2 linked regions of the Rattus norvegicus genome follow. The protein of the gene in region 2 purifies or fractionates together with the protein of the main gene of each other region. This does not show direct contact. Links are inferred from orthologs where the notes say so. Each region holds a gene or a part of one and is shown on either strand. Other genes may lie near its edges.

What was found.
Region 1: the proteins of Npm3 (region 2) and Nepro purify together in Homo sapiens (affinity purification with mass spectrometry; 4 studies listed by BioGRID and IntAct, with this or other methods). This does not show direct contact. The link is inferred for Rattus norvegicus from reciprocal best matches to the Homo sapiens genes NPM3 and RMP64.

Annotation. Positions count from the first base shown.
Region 1 is NC_086029.1:69,463,225-69,472,682, forward strand, and holds the end of Nepro (nucleolus and neural progenitor protein), read right to left. Parts: intron 8,429-9,458; coding exon 8,349-8,428; intron 8,111-8,348; coding exon 7,979-8,110; intron 7,576-7,978; coding exon 7,498-7,575; intron 6,031-7,497; coding exon 5,666-6,030; intron 5,321-5,665; coding exon 5,259-5,320; intron 3,526-5,258; coding exon 3,269-3,525; intron 1,678-3,268; coding exon 1,212-1,677; 3' UTR 1,039-1,211; downstream 1-1,038. UniProt on the Homo sapiens protein: May play a role in cortex development as part of the Notch signaling pathway. Downstream of Notch may repress the expression of proneural genes and inhibit neuronal differentiation thereby maintaining neural progenitors.
Region 2 is NC_086019.1:254,541,064-254,550,948, forward strand, and holds Npm3 (nucleoplasmin-3), read right to left. Parts: upstream 5,587-9,885; 5' UTR 5,543-5,586; coding exon 5,425-5,542; intron 5,140-5,424; coding exon 5,054-5,139; intron 4,829-5,053; coding exon 4,709-4,828; intron 4,597-4,708; coding exon 4,503-4,596; intron 4,175-4,502; coding exon 4,071-4,174; 3' UTR 4,064-4,070; intron 3,973-4,063; 3' UTR 3,601-3,972; downstream 1-3,600. UniProt on the Homo sapiens protein: Plays a role in the regulation of diverse cellular processes such as ribosome biogenesis, chromatin remodeling or protein chaperoning. Modulates the histone chaperone function and the RNA-binding activity of nucleolar phosphoprotein B23/NPM.

The sequences.
Region 1 (9,458 bases), on a different chromosome or scaffold from region 2:
GGAGCAGTCAGTTGTACACTATGTACAAATAATCAGGTGATGGCATTGATAGCAGGTGACAAATTCATGACTGGCCTTATTCCTGGCAAACACTTACTTAGCTACGTTTTTGCTGTGCTTCATAGGAACAATAAAAAGGAAAACACCAAAAGTCTTCTCATATACCCCCTTAGGAGTAACAGTGACAAAATGAAGATTAAATAATGGTTTTAACCATTTGAGTAATGGAAAAACTTTTGATAATTCATTTTAACAACATAGCATACACTCACATGTTATTCAGAAGGATGACCTGGGCAGGTGAGATGGCTCAGCCCATGGGTAAACACATGATGCTATGCCTGACAGTCTGAATTCCACCTGTGATGGCTTGAATATGCTTGGCCCAAGGAGCGACACTATTATTAAGTGTGGTCTTGTTGGAGTGGATGTGTCACTGTGGGTGTGAGCTTTAAGCCCTTCCTCCTAGATGCCTAGAAGCCAGTCTTCTGTTTGCTTTCGGAACAAGATACAGAACTCTCAGCTCCTCCTGCACCATGCCTGCCTGGATGCTGCCATGCTTCTACCTTGATGATAATGGACTGAACCTCTGAACCTGTAAGCCAGCCCCAATTAAATGTTGTCCTTTATAAGACTTGCCTTGGTCATGGTGTCTGTTCACAGCAGCAAAACACTAACTAGGACACCACCCCTTGGACCCAGAGGTAAAAGAACAGAACCAACTCTCAGAAGTTACCCTCCGATACCCATATTCATGTATGTTACTGTCTGATATCCACACATAAGTACGTACCCATGCACAAAATGTAAAAACCTTAAAAACATGATGTTTCTCTGCTATGCCAACCTTGTTCTGTTTACCTTCAGATACATAAGATTTTGTGAAATAATTCCAGATTTTAATGCCATAGTAGATCATAAAGTCATCTGATATTGAGAAACCTACTTGTTTCAGTCATGAAGGGTGCGTTCCCCAGGGGCAGGCCATTCATCATATTTACCACCTTGCACAGTCAAAGCCAAATACTCACCATCTGATTAACTTACACAACGCTGCTGTCAATGTTTATTGAATTGGAATGCACACACTGGAATACTGCACAGACGCAGCTCTCAGCCTAAGCAGTGTTTCCAGATCTTAGCAATACCCCTTAAAACAGCAGAACACTGGACCAGCTTGTTAACTGCTCAGAAGTTTCACCTAAGTACATCTAAACTCCCATCAAAGCAAAAATATCATCAATGTCATCTGCCTCTTGAGCGGTGCCTGGCGCACTGTGCATGTGCACCTGTCTCTTCGTCCGCAGGCCGGTTTCACTTCCACCGCCCCCTCTCAGATTCCCATGGACCCCCATCTTCTTAGCTTTTAGGTCAGGCTTTGCAAGTTTGCTCAAGACCTGCTCTCCATTCAGACAGACATCTGACCTCTGAACTGTCCCACCAGAGCATCTCTTCTTAGCACTGCTGTCCCTAGTGGTTTTCAGAGTCCCTTCAGGGACCTGCTGGGTTTCCTTTATAAGAGTTGACTGTAACTTTCTCTGTGGTTTCCTTTGTCTTGATAAAACTTTATACTTTGATCTTCTTTGTCTGGGAGGGTGCTTTGAAGTGCTGACACTGAAGCCTCGGAGAAGGCCCTTGCAAAGAGATGTTTTCATGCACTGAAGCTTCTTCGGCAAACTAAAGAACAAAAGAGAGAAATCTCAACTTATTATGATACTAAAAAGTTCTCAAGCACTTTTAACTGTCTCCACCAACTGTCAACAGAAGAGTACACAATTTATTACAAGTCCTAGGCCTGTATATATGTAAGGAAATGGGAGTTTCAACCTAAGAGCATTTTTTCAGATTCCCTCTCTGATTCAGGATACAGGCAGATGTGCCTCCATTTTGCCCTAAAGTAACTCTCATGACTGCCTAGCAAGGACACATCTGGTGTGACCTTGTTCACACTTAAGAGCCATAGCCTTTCCCTCGTGCTGATAATCTGTTTCTAGGTAAACAAGAGTGGAAATGGCAAAATATCACAAATTAAAAGCTCTGTGGTGTGTCAGAATCCACTTCTGGCTAAGCTCATGTTGTAGCAGGAAACGAACAGGGGGAAGGAATGAAAATAACGAGGGGTCATCTAGCAAAGACAAACTGACCCCTGTGAGGTGTCCTGGGAGTTGTTCTGTATCCCCTGCAGTCAGAACTTACCTCATACGTTTGGCATTTGCCTCGCACCTCATAACTGTTGGTAAAGATTAATATAGGTCTATGTGCCTAAGCCAAGTCCCTCTGCTCTTACTTTAAAGAAATAAAATTATATATTAATATATATTAATAAGCAATTTAGGACCCCGATTTCCCAGCCATGACTAGAAGCACTGACTTTGCATTGAGTAAAATGTGGGTGCATCTCTGAGTTGAAACAAAAATAATAATGGGAGGACCTGAAATAAGTCCTAGCTCTCCAGGGCCAACAGCTTGAACAAAACCATGTCTCCATGTATGAATGGGAACAATGCTGCCCACCTTCCAGAATACTGAAAACCATCTCTCCATGTATGAATGGAACAATGCTGCCCACCTTCCAGAATACTGAAAACCATCTCTCCATGTATGAATGGAACAATGCTGCCCACCTTCCAGAATACTGTGAACTCTAATGTTTTACAAAGTGTTCCATAGGAAAAAAGATGTATTACTGAAACAGCAATAGGGCAATATAGTCAACATATTTTGGGAAGTAGAGACTACCACTTAATCAACAGACCTGTTTGTTACCCCTCTTGCTAACTGTTCATCATCATGATCTGTTTCCTCACAACCCTAAACTGTTCTATCTTTGTAAGACCCACAATAAACTGAATCTCTCAATGTGAGGGGCTAAGCGACTGTTCCTGCAGCCTGTGTGGGCCTCACAGGCAGACACACTTCCCTCACATCCTCAGCCGGCTGTGCTGCTGCCGTATCTACAGAAGGCCACCGCCCACAAGAACAGAGCTCCTGAGGACTAAGGCTGCCCCATGCTGTCAGCACCAGGTTTTGAACACCAGAGGTAATCTAAGGCTTTCTGAAATGAGCCAGTGGGAATGACATGGTGTAAGGATTCCAAACAACTGTCACTTTCTCCTGACACAACTGCCCAGATAACGTTAGCAACACATGAAACTGTACTTGTCTTGTTCTAGCACCTCAAGAGCTGGGAGATTTTAAACAAGGTAGGTAATGCACATGCGTACACTTCCTCACTGAAATGGGAAAGGAATTTTTCTAATGTAATTACCTGTAACCTTGAGATTCCACATGTCTAAGCCTATTAGTCTTAAGAAGTTTGTTGCCCAGATAGATGGCCTGAGCCTTGAGCTTTTTGCTCCGGGACCACGCAATTGCCATTTGGATTTCTTCAGAAAGTTGGGTGAATGTCTTGGTCATTCGGATTCTTTGCACAGTATCATTAGCCCAGTGAGTTCTCAATTTCTGAGAGGAAAGTTTGGTTGTCTTCGGTTTGGATTGGGAATATTTAAACTGTTGGCTGGTCTCCTGAAGTGTAAAAAGAAGAGAAAAAAGATATTGAAAACAGTAGTAGTGACTTTTAAATAAAGGAAAACAGTTTTGAAAAGCTGGGCCATTAAAAAGTTAAAATAATTTTTAAGGACACTTATAATCCATCAACCTTTTCTTTTATCCATTCTCCTAACACTTCCCTTTTTACCCTTCTACCGAGGCAAGTCCTATCTGCCCTTTAGTGAAGTGTACACAGAAAACCCAAGATAGATACACACATATGTAACACATCTACCCACACACTAAAACCGATTAAACGGTTTGTCAAAGTCTAATGATGGGGGAAATCCCAAGTCTTCCACAATGATATCCTCCCTTGTTTTCTTCTTTGTTTATCAGGGAGGTCATTTTTATTTTTTACTTTATTTTCTTTACTGAAGACTGAACTTAGGCCCTTGTAAATACTTGGCGAGTGGCCTTTATCCCCAGCCCTTTTAAAGTTTTTTTTTTCAAATTCTGCCTCAGTTTCCCCTCTTGAAATATGAAAGCAGTAAGTCAAGAGTTTCTCTTACAGAGTTTTTCTGAGGATTAGTGGTTAATGCTAAAGCATTTAAGATATCGTCAGGGGCTTAAAGGATCTGCTAAAGAATTTTTTCCTCCTTCTGAATTTATGAGTTGAGCAAGATAAAAATGCGAACTGCCATCTGTGTTTAAAAGTTCAATAAAGAACTGCGGGTTCTTAGAAGTAAGAGTTTGTAAATAAAAGGAAACCAGACAATGGTAACAAAAGTCAAGCGGTTACTGGGTGACAGGTGACACTGATGTACTTAGTCATGAAGTCCAGAACCATTTTCTGACGCTAATATAAGGTATCGTGTAAAGCTTGAACTCCCAAAAGGATTGATGCCTCATGACAAATGAGGAGGGAGACAAGACCAATGACTGCCACTAACATCTGGCATCAGTTGAATGCTTACCACACACGAGACCCACCTAACACACGTACTAGCCCAGACTGAGAGATGCATGGAGTGGAGAAGGGAAGTATAGAGAGGTCAGGGACCACACAGCTAATACGGAGTGGGGCGAGCGTTCCAGCAAGTACAAAGCCCATGCTTTTAAAGTGCTCACCATCCGTATTTAGGGCAGGCCATAAGACTGCTTGGAGATCCCAAAGGCATGCCTAGTAAAGCACTTCTGAATACACCCCACTAACTGGACTAACTAGGACCATTGAAAAGCCAGCTTCTTGAGGAGGAGGGCAACCCTATAGGAGGACCAGCCCTTTCAATTAACCTGGACCCTCGAGATCTCTCAGAGACTGGACCACCAACCAGGCAGCATACACCAGAAGATATGAGGCCCCCAACACACATACAGCAGAGGACTCCTGGGTCTGGGTTCAGTCAGGGAAGATGCACCTAACCCTCAAGAGACTGGAGGCCCCTGGGAGTTTAGAGATCTGGTGGGGTGGGGACATCCTCGTGGAGACAGGGGTGTGGGGAGGAGGTATGGGATGTGGAACAGTCGGGGGGCTGAACCAGGAGGGGAATAAAATCTGGAGTGTAAAATTTAAAAAAAAAGAAGCAATGGCAGGAAAGAAGAAATAAAATACAGCAATAACAACAAAGCGAACTTCTTCATTAAGCAGCACAGACCAAGAACTGAGTGCAATCAAGCTTATTAGAGCAGACTCTACCTCCCTCCCCACTGAGGAGCTTCCTCTAAACCTGGCAGAAGTGAAAAGCTATGAGGTTAACCAGACAGACCTGAGTAGCTTTGTTTCGGAGTCTTGTGCAGAAAGCCCGCACGTCAAATCCCAATGGCTTTTCTGTGGAATTAGAAAACAAAAGACAGAAAAACTCAGCCATGTTACTTTCAAACCTCCAACAACGTCTTAACTACATGACATTTCCTGCCAAGTTCCTATAAAGGAAATGAAGAGAATAAAGCAGGGCACCATGAAGGAACCAGAAGCCGAGCTGTGAGAACTGGTAACACTCACACCTCCCTAAACGTAATCAGTGTGAGATTCTGAATTTCTACACAATGCACGACTATATCATGCTTTCAAAGGCGTATTTTATAAGTATGTATTTAAGAAAGAAAAGATAGAAATAGATAAACGCAGTTTAAAGGAAATAAAGAAAAGTCTGTGCTTGTCTAAGCAGCTCACCTTTTCGGGTCCTTTTACACGCTTTCACTGGCTGCCCCAGGTCCACGCTGCTCTGTGGGCTGCTTTTCATTTGTTCACATGGTTGGGAAAGTTTATCCAAGGTGTCTCCATTGGTCTCTGATAGTTGCTCTTTCATTAAAAACAGTTTATTTAGCAGCTTAGTTACTCCTTTAGGAGCAAAAGATGCAGGGGTTTTTCCCTTAAAGATATCAAGGTAAGAGGAGCCTAGAAAGTCAGTGATGTTGGAGGGAAAGGCAAAATCTTTGAAGTAAGGCATGGGCTGAATCCTGGAGATCTCCTGATGCAATCCAAGCAATGGCTCATATAAGGAAATCAGCCGTCGCAAGAGTCCTTTATGGAGAACCCTAGAAGAAACAGAAGCTCTTTATATATATAAAATATTCGTAATTCAAATGCTATTACTTCTGATTAAGAATAAGCAGAATAAACTAATGGAGAGATATATAGAGGAAGAAGGGTAGGAGCCAGAGGGGTCAAAGCCGCCACATGAAACAGAATCAAGTAACCTGGGCTCATAGGGGCTCAGAGACTGAACTGACAACCAGGAGCCTACATGGGACTGACCTAGGCCTCCGCACATATGTTAGAGTTTGAGACTTAACAGTGGAAGCAGGGACTGTCCCCGTCTCTGTCGCCTGCTATTGGGACCCTTTCCTCCTACTGGGTTGCCTGCTCCAGCCTTAACAGGAGAGGAGGTACCTAGTCTTACTGTAACTTGATACGCCATGGCTGGTTGATATTCATGGAGGCTGGCCCTTTTTTGAAGAGTGGATAGGGGATTGAGGGTGGGAAGGAGGAGAGGAGAGAGAGCAAACTTCAGTCTGGATGTTAAAAAAATTAACTTATTTATTAATTAAAAAGAATAAGCAGGGGCTGGAGAGATGGCTCAGTGGTTAAGAGCACCCGACTGCTCTTTCAGAGGTCATGAGTTCAATTCCCAGCAACCACATGGTGGCTCACAACCATCTTAAAGAGATCTGATGCCCTCTTCTGGTGTGTCTGAAGACAGCTACAGTGTACTTATATATAATAAATGAATAAATCTTAAAAAAAAAAAAAAGAATAAGCAGAACAAAAAGATGACTGAAAATTCAAATAAGGTATCTGGGTTAAGACATCGAAGCAAGGTTTATATTTGAAAGTAGGAAGAATCTTGTGGGTTTGTCTCTGTTGTTTTGACAGTTTTGCTAAAATCAGAACTAATGATCCAATTCTGTGCCTAGTTATCCATCAAACCACTGTATGCACAAACACACACACCACACACAAGGAAATGCTTTTTTTCTAGTTTATAAATCTTGCAAGTATTATTTCTATCAACCAAATATGGCTCAAAAGCATCAGAGTGTCAGGCAGAAGAGAAGCCTAGAGCATACAAGGAAGGTCAAATTGTGTTTCTAATTTCTATTAAAATTAACAACCAGTTGTTAAAGAACCAAGATATGGTCAGTCCAGGAACAGCTGCTCTTTCAAAAGCCAACTGCAATATTACTACTGCCACCATTATAATAATAATAATAATTATTATTATTATTATTATTATTATTATTATTATATCATTATCAAATATTATTATAGTTCCTAGGTCCTAGGTCCTAGGAAATCACTTTCTGAGCTACTCGGTCTCAAGGTGAAGGTTTCAGAAGAAAAGCCCTCTGATATAACTACCCAGCCGACAATGTGAAAACCAACCATCGTGGGAAGAAAGGGAAGCCTGCACCTTCAGTTCCCAAGGCAACAGACTGTGTGAACACTAACAAGAAACTTGAGTCAGGTAAAGATGAAACACAAATGCAGAAATGTGAACGTACCATAACCTGCTCACCAGCCCAACCATCACAAGGTTCAAAATAATGAACTCGCGTAGCCCTAAGTGCTTCACAGTCAACCTGAAGAATTCAGTTTAAGGTGGAAAACAGAACCAAGGGAATTTAAGATTTGTAGGTTACAATTATGAAAGAAAGAACTTATAAGAAAGCTCTGAAGATAGTAAAGCCCTAACATGGCAATGAAGTCACATTACACTAAAAGCAAAAATATCTATTCTACTAGAGCTCCTATTGTGACAGAGTCTGAGAGTAAGAATTTCTAAAGGTCCTTAGAATACATGCTAGGTAGAGACATGGAGTCCTTGGCACCAGCCATGCCAGCAATAGCTGGAAGAGGAGCCAAAGGCAAAGCGTCAAGATTCCCCACAGGTTACACTGCTTTAAGAGCACAGCATTTGAACAGAAGCCCAATATACCCAAATAGCTTCCACTCAAAAGAAGGCATTCCCATAGTCAAGGATACAGAAACGTCTTGCAGCAGCGGTCCAACAAGCGCAGCAACAACTTGCAGCCTCCCAAAACCTTCATCAGCACCACCTCCATCACCGGCTGGCTGGGCACCACACGGTTTTCGGTAGCTCCAGGCTGAGTTTTACTTGACATACACAGAAAAGGACAAGACTGTCAATCTCTAAACACATCGTTTCTACAGCGGTATTCAGCCTGAGGTGGTTACGCCCACTAGCATTCCACTCTTCTTTCACTGCAACCCACTGTGAGCCCCAATTCAGTGTCCCACCAGTACCGCCCATCAGTCCACAGGTTCCCCTCACTAAAACACAACATGCCAGAGAATACCAAAGAGTGCTCAGACAGAGCAATGGACCACCTACTTGGCGGACAACAACTGTGACAGGTCTTCAATGGAGCCCTCCAAATTCATGTGTTTCAATCGTTTTAAGCACTGTTCTACCTGAAGGAGGAAGGACAGCTCAAATTAGTATGTGTATACATAACAATGTTACAGAGACCACCAAGAACACAAAGAAAGCAAAGCACTTCATGGTATGGAAATATGCCACAGAAGGCTTCCCATTTAAGGCCTAGGGGACCCACCCCAAAACAATCTCACCCACCCAACACATTTCTCAATTCAAGAAGATTACTACATGCCAAGTGTGCTCGATGCTGTAAAGTGACCAACATTAATGTAAGTCTCAATATTATAATTTGTTGAGGGAGCAGATTTACAGCAGTGAGGCTAGTAAAACAAGAAAGCAAACTCTTAACTCAGTTTCAATAGTCTATAAGCACCAGACATGAAGGTGACTTAGTCACAGAACAACTATTCTGAACACCTACTATGTGCAAGATATGCTAGGCAATGACGTAGTATATGATACGTTCCAACTTCTAGTAATAAAGATAGATAATATACCAAGTACTTAACTAAATGCTAAAATGGATATGCTTTACTTAACACTGCAATCCCCCCTTCTCTGCTTTTCCTTATAGCACTTCTTACCAGTTGGTATACCACTCACTGACTGCCTGCCCTTTTCTCCAAACTATACTATAAACTCCCGATGGAGAATAGAACTTGTCCGTTTTGCTCACGAGCATAATCCAGTTATTAGAACAGGGGTTAGTAGGTTCTCGTGGAGGGTGGGGAGAAAAAGCCACGTAGAATACAAAATGCTGTATGAATTCTCTAGGTGTCAGGAACACCCACCCAGGGCACTCCCTGGACTGCACCCACACGTCAAAGGATGATGGGAATTGTACTGGTCAGTGCTGTCATCTTGTTAGAGCTACATATATACCACTAAGAACCAAATCAGACTTATGGGTCCTACTTCAGCAGAGCTCAATCCTTAATTCACTGGGGCTGGCTTTTTAATTCCTAAGTCTGGACACCATCTTTTAAGATAGTTATTGACAGTCCAAGACAGTAATACACTTGGAAAATAGTGAGTGAAATATGGTTTTGGGGGAGGGGAAGG
Region 2 (9,885 bases):
TTCCTGAGCCCAGAGTTGATTCTCCTCACAAATCCTTTCTGTTTTGATCCACACAGACCAGTAGGTGAGGGATTTGTCTTACAGGCTCAAGGATGGGGCAGAGTTGCTCTGCAGATAGTGCTGGTTAGATGGATGGATGGGGACAACCTGACTGAGCATTTAGACTGTCTTCCACCCACGGTGACTTCTCAAGGAGACTTAGCTTCACCTGCCAACGGAAGGTAGCCTGCATTTGTCAGTAGTTTGGCAGGTAATAGCTCCTTTCAACACCCCCCCCCCCCAAAGTGAGTCTATGAAGGGGAAAATGGGCTAGAGAGGCTCCAGGGTCCTCAGCAAAGTCCATCCTCTTTTTTATTTCCCCATGTGCTTTGCAGAGGGGCCTTTGGGATGACTTGTCTTTAATTATTTATTTATTTGTCTATTTTTGCATTGCTCCAAGCTGGCAGAGATGATGTCTGTTTGCTCACAGAATTTACTTCATATGTGGATCATAAGAGTGTTTATTCTTGAATTTATTACTGAGTGATGGAAAGCAAAGGACGGGCTCCACTTGTAAAGGAAGAGCCCTCTCTTCACTATGGACACAACACTTTGAAAATAAGTTTGAGTGGTTGGAGATTTAGCTCAGTGGTAGCGCACTTACCTAGCAAGCGCAAGGTCCTGGGTTCAGTCCCCAGCTCCGGAAAAAAAAAAAAAAAAAAGAAAGAAAAAAAGAAAAGAAAAGGAAAAAATAGAAAATAAGTTTGAGGAACAAAACACAGGTAGGGAAGCAGCCTGTCAGTAGAGTCTGGGTTCTGGTTCCTCCCAGGAGAGAGAGAGAGTGTGTGTGTGTGTGTGTGTGTGTGTGTGTGTGTGTGTGTGTGTGTGTGTGTGTGTGGTGGAGCACCTGAGTTATGGATCCTCCAGAGTTGAACCTTATTGATTCACCATCTGCCCATCTGCAAATCACCTCCCTCGCCCTCAGGAGACACCAGCACCCCCACCCCCATCCCCTCAGAAAAGGTCCCAGGTCAGGGTTTTACTCCTACTTTTGAACTCTGCCTCCCACCTCTGAGAGACCAAATTCTTTTACATGTGAAAACTCCTATGAACTCATTAGAGCTTAACCTAGATCTTCTGGATCCTTCTCAACTCCCCAAAATTTCCTGTCTTTGGGGGAGCCAAGGATAGATATGCCTCCCCCACAGTGGGCACCCAGAGCAGGCGGTGACTGACAGATGCAAATGTTCCATCGGGCTCCCGCAGGCCGCTCTCCCTCCCTCCCTTGCTAGCCTGCCTCCTGGCCAGCTCCCTCCTTCCTTTATCTTATCAAAGCCCCGTAATTACAATTGCTATTTTGTTTCCTCGAATCTGCAATCAGAGCTCCCGCGCCTAGATGAGGGAGCGCCTGTCATCCTGATCTCTGAGTGACAGCCTGGCCACCTTTCCCTGCCGCCCCCACACTCTGCAAACACAAACACACACATGCACACACTCCCTCCTACAAACACAAACACACACTCTTTGCCAACACAAACGGCCCTCTCTGCAAACATGCAGTCGCCCGGACCCAAACGCACCCCTCACCCGGCCCCAGCCCCCCCACCCCCAGATCCACACCCAGGCCACCATGCCTGCAGGTCACAATATTGCGCGCCTCCAGTGCCCAGCGTTCAATGTGCCACAGACTCTATCAGCATAGTTCAAATGCAAATCTCTGCGTCTGTGTCAGCCACTTCGAACCGCGACAGAAAGCTGCGGTTCTTCTCGTCTGTTCCCCAACCCCCTTCTTTCAAGCATTCTCTAGACACCATCTTATGCCTACATCCCGCAAGTTCTCCGAGGCCAGATAACTGGCAGCACTCCTGTTGTGTGCTGAGAGTGCAGAAAAGGGGTATCCCGAAAAGGTGTGATCTGGAAAGAAGGAAAAAACAATTCTCAGGTCTGTCTGTACCGCGCCGCAAGGGGCCGGGGAAACTCCTGAACTAGCAGGCAAATGTGGATTGGGCTCCCACTGCGGGCAGGGCTGTGCTCCTAGTTCACCCGCCAGGAAAACAGGCGAGAAATACAATGGGCGATCAGTGGAGTCACAGGGGGTACACTGATGGTGGGGGAGTGTGAGCGTGGGCTAGGCGAGTAAGTTTGGAAGGCTTCCGGGAGAGGTGGCTCTTCGCTGCACTTAAGCAGGTATCAAAGAGTTGGGGGCAGGAGCTGAAAGGTAGTAGGAAAAGTGAGTGCCTCCACCTAACTCTTCTCCTCTAGCGCGGGCGCTCCGTGTGAATGAAAACATATATGCATTCAAAACTTTTGTTCCCTCCTATTCTGCCTCCTACAGCGGTACGATCACGAGCAGTTTTAAACACGCCCACCAGAGGGCGCTAGTTTCGTCTTCCCCTCCAGGTCGGCACTCTGCTAATGGCCCCTAGCCAGGGCCGGTGGTGGAAACACCTGGAAGGTACTGGACTCTTGAAAAGGCACCCGCAACCCTGCTTCTTGAAACACAGAAAGGCACCTCTCACTTGAACAAGGGAGGTTGAAAATTTACCCCTGACTCATCACATAGATTGGGGGAAAACTTTTGCCGTCAGGAGGAGCCACTTCCTCCTTTCCCTCCTAACCTCCATGGGGGGAGCCCAAGCTGAACTCGTTTCCAATTGTCTCCTCTCCGGTGCTACCACATTTGGGTTAGGTACCGCTTTCCTCTATTGTAGGGGACACTCTTGAAGTCAACACACTGAGCTCAACCCAACTTCTTTGTATTATGGAGAGGCCTCCTAGTTGTTGGTCAGCTGGTGTGAATTGGCCTGATTCTCGGACTCTGTTCTCTGTCAGTCTTCAGCTTGTCTGGAGAAGTAACCTTTTGTTTGTTTGTAAGGCATTGATCCCCACCCATCCTAACCCATCAACACTGCTGAACTGCTGACCCCAGGGTGGATAGTCCTCACACAAGCAACCCCGTTTCTCTTCCTGGCATAACAGTAGCCAGACCCAAGAACCACTTCATTCTAGGGATAAGGCAGTATGACAGCGCGCTGGGGGCAGAGGGGAGGGGTAACCCCTCAGCAGAGGAGGTTGATTCCCATGGGCTCCTTTCTGCCCCCATATGCCAGGCCACCCGGATTCTGGTTTCCCTGTCACCCAATCTGGCCAGTTCCCTCCATCTGGCCCTGGGAATCAGGTTTCTAAGGCCCCTGCTCTACTCGACCTACCTCAAAAGACCAGACCAGAGGCTGGTCCCCACCCTCACAGGCCCTCTCTTTGGGCTGAGCCCCTCATGGGGTTAGGGATGCACATTCCTCAGGTTTCTTAAGCCCACTTATCTGTCCCTCTGCCCATCAACCTGAGTGCTGACAGAGGCCCAGGCCCCTTGTTTGGAAGCTGATAACCTCCTGCAATGGCCCTCCCTCCCCCACCTGCAGGAACATGGGATAGGCTGGAATAGGAGGTCCCTCTGCTGCAAGGGTGAGGAACTCAAGCCCGCTTTGGGCCCAAAGCCCTGGGGAATACGATCCCACACTTCACCAGCACAAGACCTACTAGGCCAACCTTTGTGCTGCCACAGTGCCACCTGGTGGTCCCTAGGGAAATGTCATCTCAGCATTGAAAAAAGCCACACAAGGATTGCAAAAAACCATACACCACTTTATTTAGATATTTATCTAAAAATGTAAAAAGTGTTAAAAATGTGCTCTGAACTTCATGGTGGTTTTTTTTTGTTTTGTTTTGTAGTGCTGGGGATTGAACCTGGGGCTTTACAAAACTTTTAGTCTGGGTAGGTGGGTTATAAGAGGTGTTCAAAGGTCATCCCCATTCCAGAAGAAAAGGGAAACTTCAGGAACCACAGGACCCTAAGGAGAATGACTGGTCTCTCAGACCAGCCTAAGTCCCTCCCACCCACCCCCTTCCTAAACCATCCTCTTCAGCGAGAAAACCATCCTTGAACTTGTCCAGGGACACATGGAACATGGCACCTGTAGCAAGCAGCTCCCTGACCTGAGAAAAGCAAGAAAGAAATCAGTGTCTTCGGCTTCACCTCTCCCTTAACTTCCCAGATCCTGCTGGAACCCCCTCCCCTCCTACTCACCAGAGGGCTAAGGCCTGCCCCTATGCTTTTTGGCAGGAAGGATTCCACACAGCTTAATTTCATCTTCACTCTCATCCGGACTTTCTTCAGAAAGATCGTTGTTTATACAAACTGGTGGATACACACAGGAAGACAGAAGGTTAAAGCCAAACACCACAGGTCACTTATTCAGTGCCCCGTGCTGCTAGGCTGACAGGGAACCTCATCTTCCAGAGTTCCTAAGTCTACATGGGAAGAAGCTCAGTAATTGAACTGGGGGGGGGGGGGAGCCCAAAACCCAAAAGAGCCCACCCACACCGCTGGGGCTGGACACCTGGGGAGGGGTCCAGGAAGTTCACAGGCCTGACTGAGGCAATGAGAGGCACATAAAACTGAACCATGAGGCTGGGGTAAAAGTCAGGAGTGGAGAGTGAGGGAGGAGAGGGCCCACTCCTCTCACCGATCTGATGCCGACCAGTGATCCGCACAGGGCCAGAACCGGACTTGAGGCGGAACGTTACAGGTGGTTGGAGCTGGAAGTCATCTACACTGAGCTGGAAGACAAGAAGGATGAAAGCCTAATTCATTCTGGTCCATCCATTTTGAGATTAATACTGAAGTTCTCAATCCCCAACATACTCCAACGAATGGACGGCTACAACTCACCATGGGCTGGCAAGACAACCTGAGGTTGGCCACAGGAACTGCAATCTCCTGATTGTCGTGATCGCGGGCCACAACTTCCACCACATTACACTCGTCCTTGGCACCCTCGGTAAGGCACAGCTGAAAGGCATACAGAACCCCTGCGTCTCAAGTGAGGGCGGACACCAAGGTGAAGGCATCTTGCCCTAAAAGCTGCCTAGTCTCAGTGGTACCCGATGGGGGGACCAGAGACGTAGCCCTTTGAGGGTAGCCACAAGTGACTCTCAATCCGAAGGTGGGGGAGAGGGGAGATAAGCGAGTGTCCGCGAGACCCCCGCATCTCCAACTCCCTCTGCACCCCCTTACCATGTTCAAAGCCAGCACATGTTCTGTATCATCCTCTTCCTCAACCTTGAAAGTAAAGGAGCGGGTGTGGCTGGAGAGCTCACAACCTGCAAGAGCCAGTGCGTTCGCCTGAGAGGAGCACTCGTGGAGAGGACAGAGCGCGGGGGCGTTTCACAAACTCCGCTGTCCCCTCCACCCGGTCGTGTGCTGCCGGGGAGTGACGGGCCGTTTACTCGCCTAGAACACGTGGACCGGCGTCTCTCGGCCCGTACAGGCCGCGAAGGGTTAGGGAAAGCGAGGCGCCCTCGGCCCACACCCACGTCGCCCAGCCGCGTTCCTCAGCCCGACGCCTCACCCACCCCGTACCACTCTTCCATTCCCGTGTTCAATACCGAAGAAGAAACTATCCATTGTGACCGGAGCCGGAACCCTCAGGCCCCCGAGGCCCCGAGCCCTGGCTCGGCTCTCTTGGTTCAAGAACGCCAAAGCAGCCGCGGCGCCGGCGGCCATGCTGAAACGGCCGTGAGAGCCCCGCCCCCCACGCACCGAACGCCGCACCTCTGCCAGTTCCGGCCCCGCCCATTAAAGGCGCCGCGTGGCGCGAGGCACGTGAAACGCCGCACTGGCGTGAGAGCAGCTGTCGCCTCTTCCCCAAGGCCTCAGAAGAAATTTTCACTCGGACTTCAAAGTCAGCGTCCATTCACTGAACCCCTTTCTTCCAACCCGGGAATATGGAGATGTCGGTGCAAACTTTTCGTATCTCCTTTCCCAGTAAACTTGGGGTACGGAGCAGCCATTTTTACTTTCTCCCAGGGATTCCCACCCAAATTAGCCACTACATAAGCTTCTTGATCTTGATGGAGGCTTGACAGGAAAGTCGGAAGCTCAGATGTGGGAACCAACTACTGTTCCTATTACAGCCTCCACTTAGGCGATCCCCCGACCCCTCCAATATTCCTCCATTTAAGGTCAAGCCATATGCCATTCCATAGAGAAACTCAGTGAGACATCCCTCTACTTCACATAAACTTTAACTGTAGTAAGAGAGCAACTTACTTAAACGCACTTTTCTGAGAAAAATCTTTGCTGTGGAAGGCAGGAGGGAAGGGCTGTCTTTAAAATCCAGTCTACATTGAAATAGGTTTGGATACTTGAGGGATCAGATGTGAGGAAAAAAAGATGGGAGAAACCGGAGAAAAGGCAGCACACCACACATATTCTCTTCAAGTTTTATTGTGCCTCTTGCATGGTGCAGATAGTTTTACAGTTCTTTTACTATAGGAACTGAGCTGTGATCCAAACAATCAATGAACTTATTCCAACCTCAGTAAATATTCATAACCATGGAAGATGGCATAGCACTTAGCCTACAGCGATGACAGCACAGACCTGGGCAGGTTTTCAGTTATGTCCAGAAGATCATCCCAAGTGATTACTGAAAGCCAACATTAAACAAAAAGCAACTTGTTTAAAATTCCTGATTCAGTATGAAACTCTGAAATCCTCCAAATGTTGTAATTCCCACTAAGGCATGGGATGTATTCGGAAAGAGGAACATTAAACCGTCTTAACACCTAGTAACAATTTTGCCCTTCACCCCAGCCTTCAAAACCAAACTTGATTTTAAGTTTTCCAATACATCCTATCAAAGGTTTGTACCCTAATGAGGTGGCTTATTTCAACACACACCCGGGCTTCTGGTGCAAGTCACTGGGTCCACTATAAAGAGTGCTAAACGTAAAACTATATCACAAGCTCACACTGGAGTTCTATAAAAGAAAATGTTTCAAGCTTCCTTTTCTCTCTCCCTCCTCAGCTCAAAAGTTCAAAAGCTGATGTAAAACTGGAGGAAAGCAAGGTAACAAAATACTGTTGAAAATCTAGTTACTAGCTAGCCATGATTTAAAAAAAAAAAAAAAAAATCCTGCAGAGGCTCTCTGCCAGCTTCATGCTCAAAACCCTTAAATTCACCAAATCTAAATTAAAATACATGAAGTTTTCGGAATCTGAGTAAAAGAAAAGTATACTCATGGTTAACATATACTTATTCTTCCTCTTAAAAATTAGATACAAACATGCAAGAATTAAAGACTGATTCAATTAAACCAGTAGTTAACAGGTCTTTGCGATTAAATGACAAGTGTACTAAGGGCAAATGAGACCACTAGTCAGTCCCCTGACCCTTACTTGACAATGTCAAAATGTTTCACATTCGGATCTGCTATTAAGGTGAATTCCCAGAAGTAACCGCACTTCCCAACAGATGGGAGTTAAAGTTAGGTGCTCATACCCCAAATAGTCATGGCCTATCCCGATGTGGGAGGCACTTCAAAGACAAAACTTCTCAGGAAGAAAAGGACAAATGAAAGGAAATCTACCACTCACTGGTTTACATTATTCAAAGTGCCATCCTAAAACAACACCTTTCAGTTTCAAAGGAAAAAAAAACATAATATATAAAACAGTAAACAAAGAACAGTCAGGTTACAGCTAGTCTATGTACAAAGAGATTTACAAGTTTGTCAATTTAGGCCTTTGCCACAAACAAATGCACATTTGTCCCTAACAAAGCACAACGATCTGAACCAACCAGTCACAGGGGACAGCTGTCCAGAGCTTTACAAAAAGCAGAAAAATTGCCTCAAATCGAAACTCACTAAATTCTCATTCCAGCCATGTCTCCAAAGAACAGAGACATTTCACTCTGCACACCAAGGAGAATAGAGAGTGATTGATCTTCATTGCTCTTAGGTGAGAAATGCAACCACACTGGATGCAGAAAACAGTGCTGACTACATTTATTTAAGACCCTCTCCCTAGAGAACCCCATGTAAGAGGCCCTGGCACTAACACGAGACCCAAAGAGGAGCACATCACAAGCTGCACAGGACATGCAGCAGTACTGTCTTCTCTCAACCAGCGAGCGGCTGAAAATGGGATGGGTGAGTTTTACAGTCATCTTTGTTTCCAATTCAACTGGCTGATCTGCTGCCGCTCCAGACACTGAACTGTGTGAAGACCTCAACCACCAACCACAAGGTGGAGTTAAGAGACTTTTGGACAGTTCACAGTACCATCAATGTCACAGGCTTCGACCAAGTATAACCACATCCTTTGGAAATCCTTCCATTTTTGCAATTTCAAAACAGCCTAACTTGCTGTAAAATTCCAGAATCCTTTTATCATCTGGTCTTACTTCACAGAAAGCCCCCCGGGAGCCTAGAAATAAAACAAATATTTTAAATATAAGTAAGTGTATCATACAGATATGAATCATGTTTAATATAGATTAACAGTTTTACCTATCCCTAAATTTCCTATTACAGCTTTCATTTACTTTGTGGTAATAGGGCACTAACTATATTCCCAGCCCAACAATATTTTAAAGTATTTTTTTGTTTTTTAGATAGGGTCTCACTCTGTAGCCCTGGCTGGCTTAGAACTCAGAATAGCAGGCCGACTTTGACTTAAGAAATCCACCTGCCTCAGTACTGGTACTAAATGTACATGCCACCAAACCTGACTTTAAAAATTGTTTTAAAGATTTATGTTATGTGTGAGTACACTGCAGCTGTCTTCAAACATAGCAGATCCCATTACAGATGGTTGTGAGCCACCATGTGGTTGGTGGGATTTGAACTCAGGACCTTTGGAAGAGCAGTCAGTTATAACTGCTGAGCCATCTCTCCAGCACTACTTTAAAATTCTTAATACTTAGCCAACAGTGAGTAAAAAACTCTTCCTGGATGAGGCCAGCTCTACATGCCCCCTTAGACCCACTGCCCGGGAGGCAGAGGCGGGACAGAGTTACAGGACACCCAGGGCTACAGAGAGAAACTGTCTTTAAAAACAAAACAAACAACAACAACAACAACAACAACAACAACAACAAAAAGCCGAAAGAAAAAAGGACAAAAAGGAAAAAAAAGTCTAGAGAGACAGTTCTGTGTGTCTTCCTACTGAGGCCCTACATAGATTCAATCTCCTATGGTATAAAAATGTAAAAACAATTTGGGGATTGGGTGGACAGTGCTCTGTGCATGCTTGGTAAGTGTTTTACCACTGAGCTACATTACCAGACCTCTAACTCTGAAAATGGCTGACAAACTACTCACTTTCCTACCAGCTTAGAGCTAAACTGTTAGAGTCAGATTCTCACCATGAATCCTGGACTAGCCATTTTAATCTTACCTCAGATTCTCACATTCTGAGATCATGTATACTACACAATGTTCAGTCTTAAAATGTGTTCTTACATTTTTAAAGGCTGCCTGAAAAGATATTCAAGGAATACTATCTGTGGCACTTAGAGCCTAGAACATCATCTTGCCCTATATAGATTTTTCCCCAAAGTATTAATGGTGAAGCAAGGAATTTTTGAAAACTCCACATAGATAATACACTCCAACAAAAGCTGCACAAAGTTTTTTCGTCAGGTTTATTTAATCTTCAACCATTTACAGGCTTCTGAACAGAATAAATTATCTCATGTGTTCATTTCTCATTCAATTGATGAGGCTCTGAACTAGTGTTAATGTTACAGCAGAGCAGCCCTTTTCAAGGGTCAATGCACTGAACTCTTGCACCACTTAGTAATTCTAAATAAACGAGCAACAAGCCAGACACAGTAGGTGCAGACCCGAATTACTTAAGAGGACAGACAAGGCAGATGATAGCTTGAGCCCCAGAATTTGAGGGTAATCTGGGCAATAGAGATCCCACACCCCCAACACACCCACACCCATGAGGTGGGGGTGGGGGACAGGACGGGGACAGGGACAACAATGTAAATGGGAAAAACATGGAGCCTAGGCTTATTATGGAGGCCAGATGCTGACTCTGTGGAGTTGGTT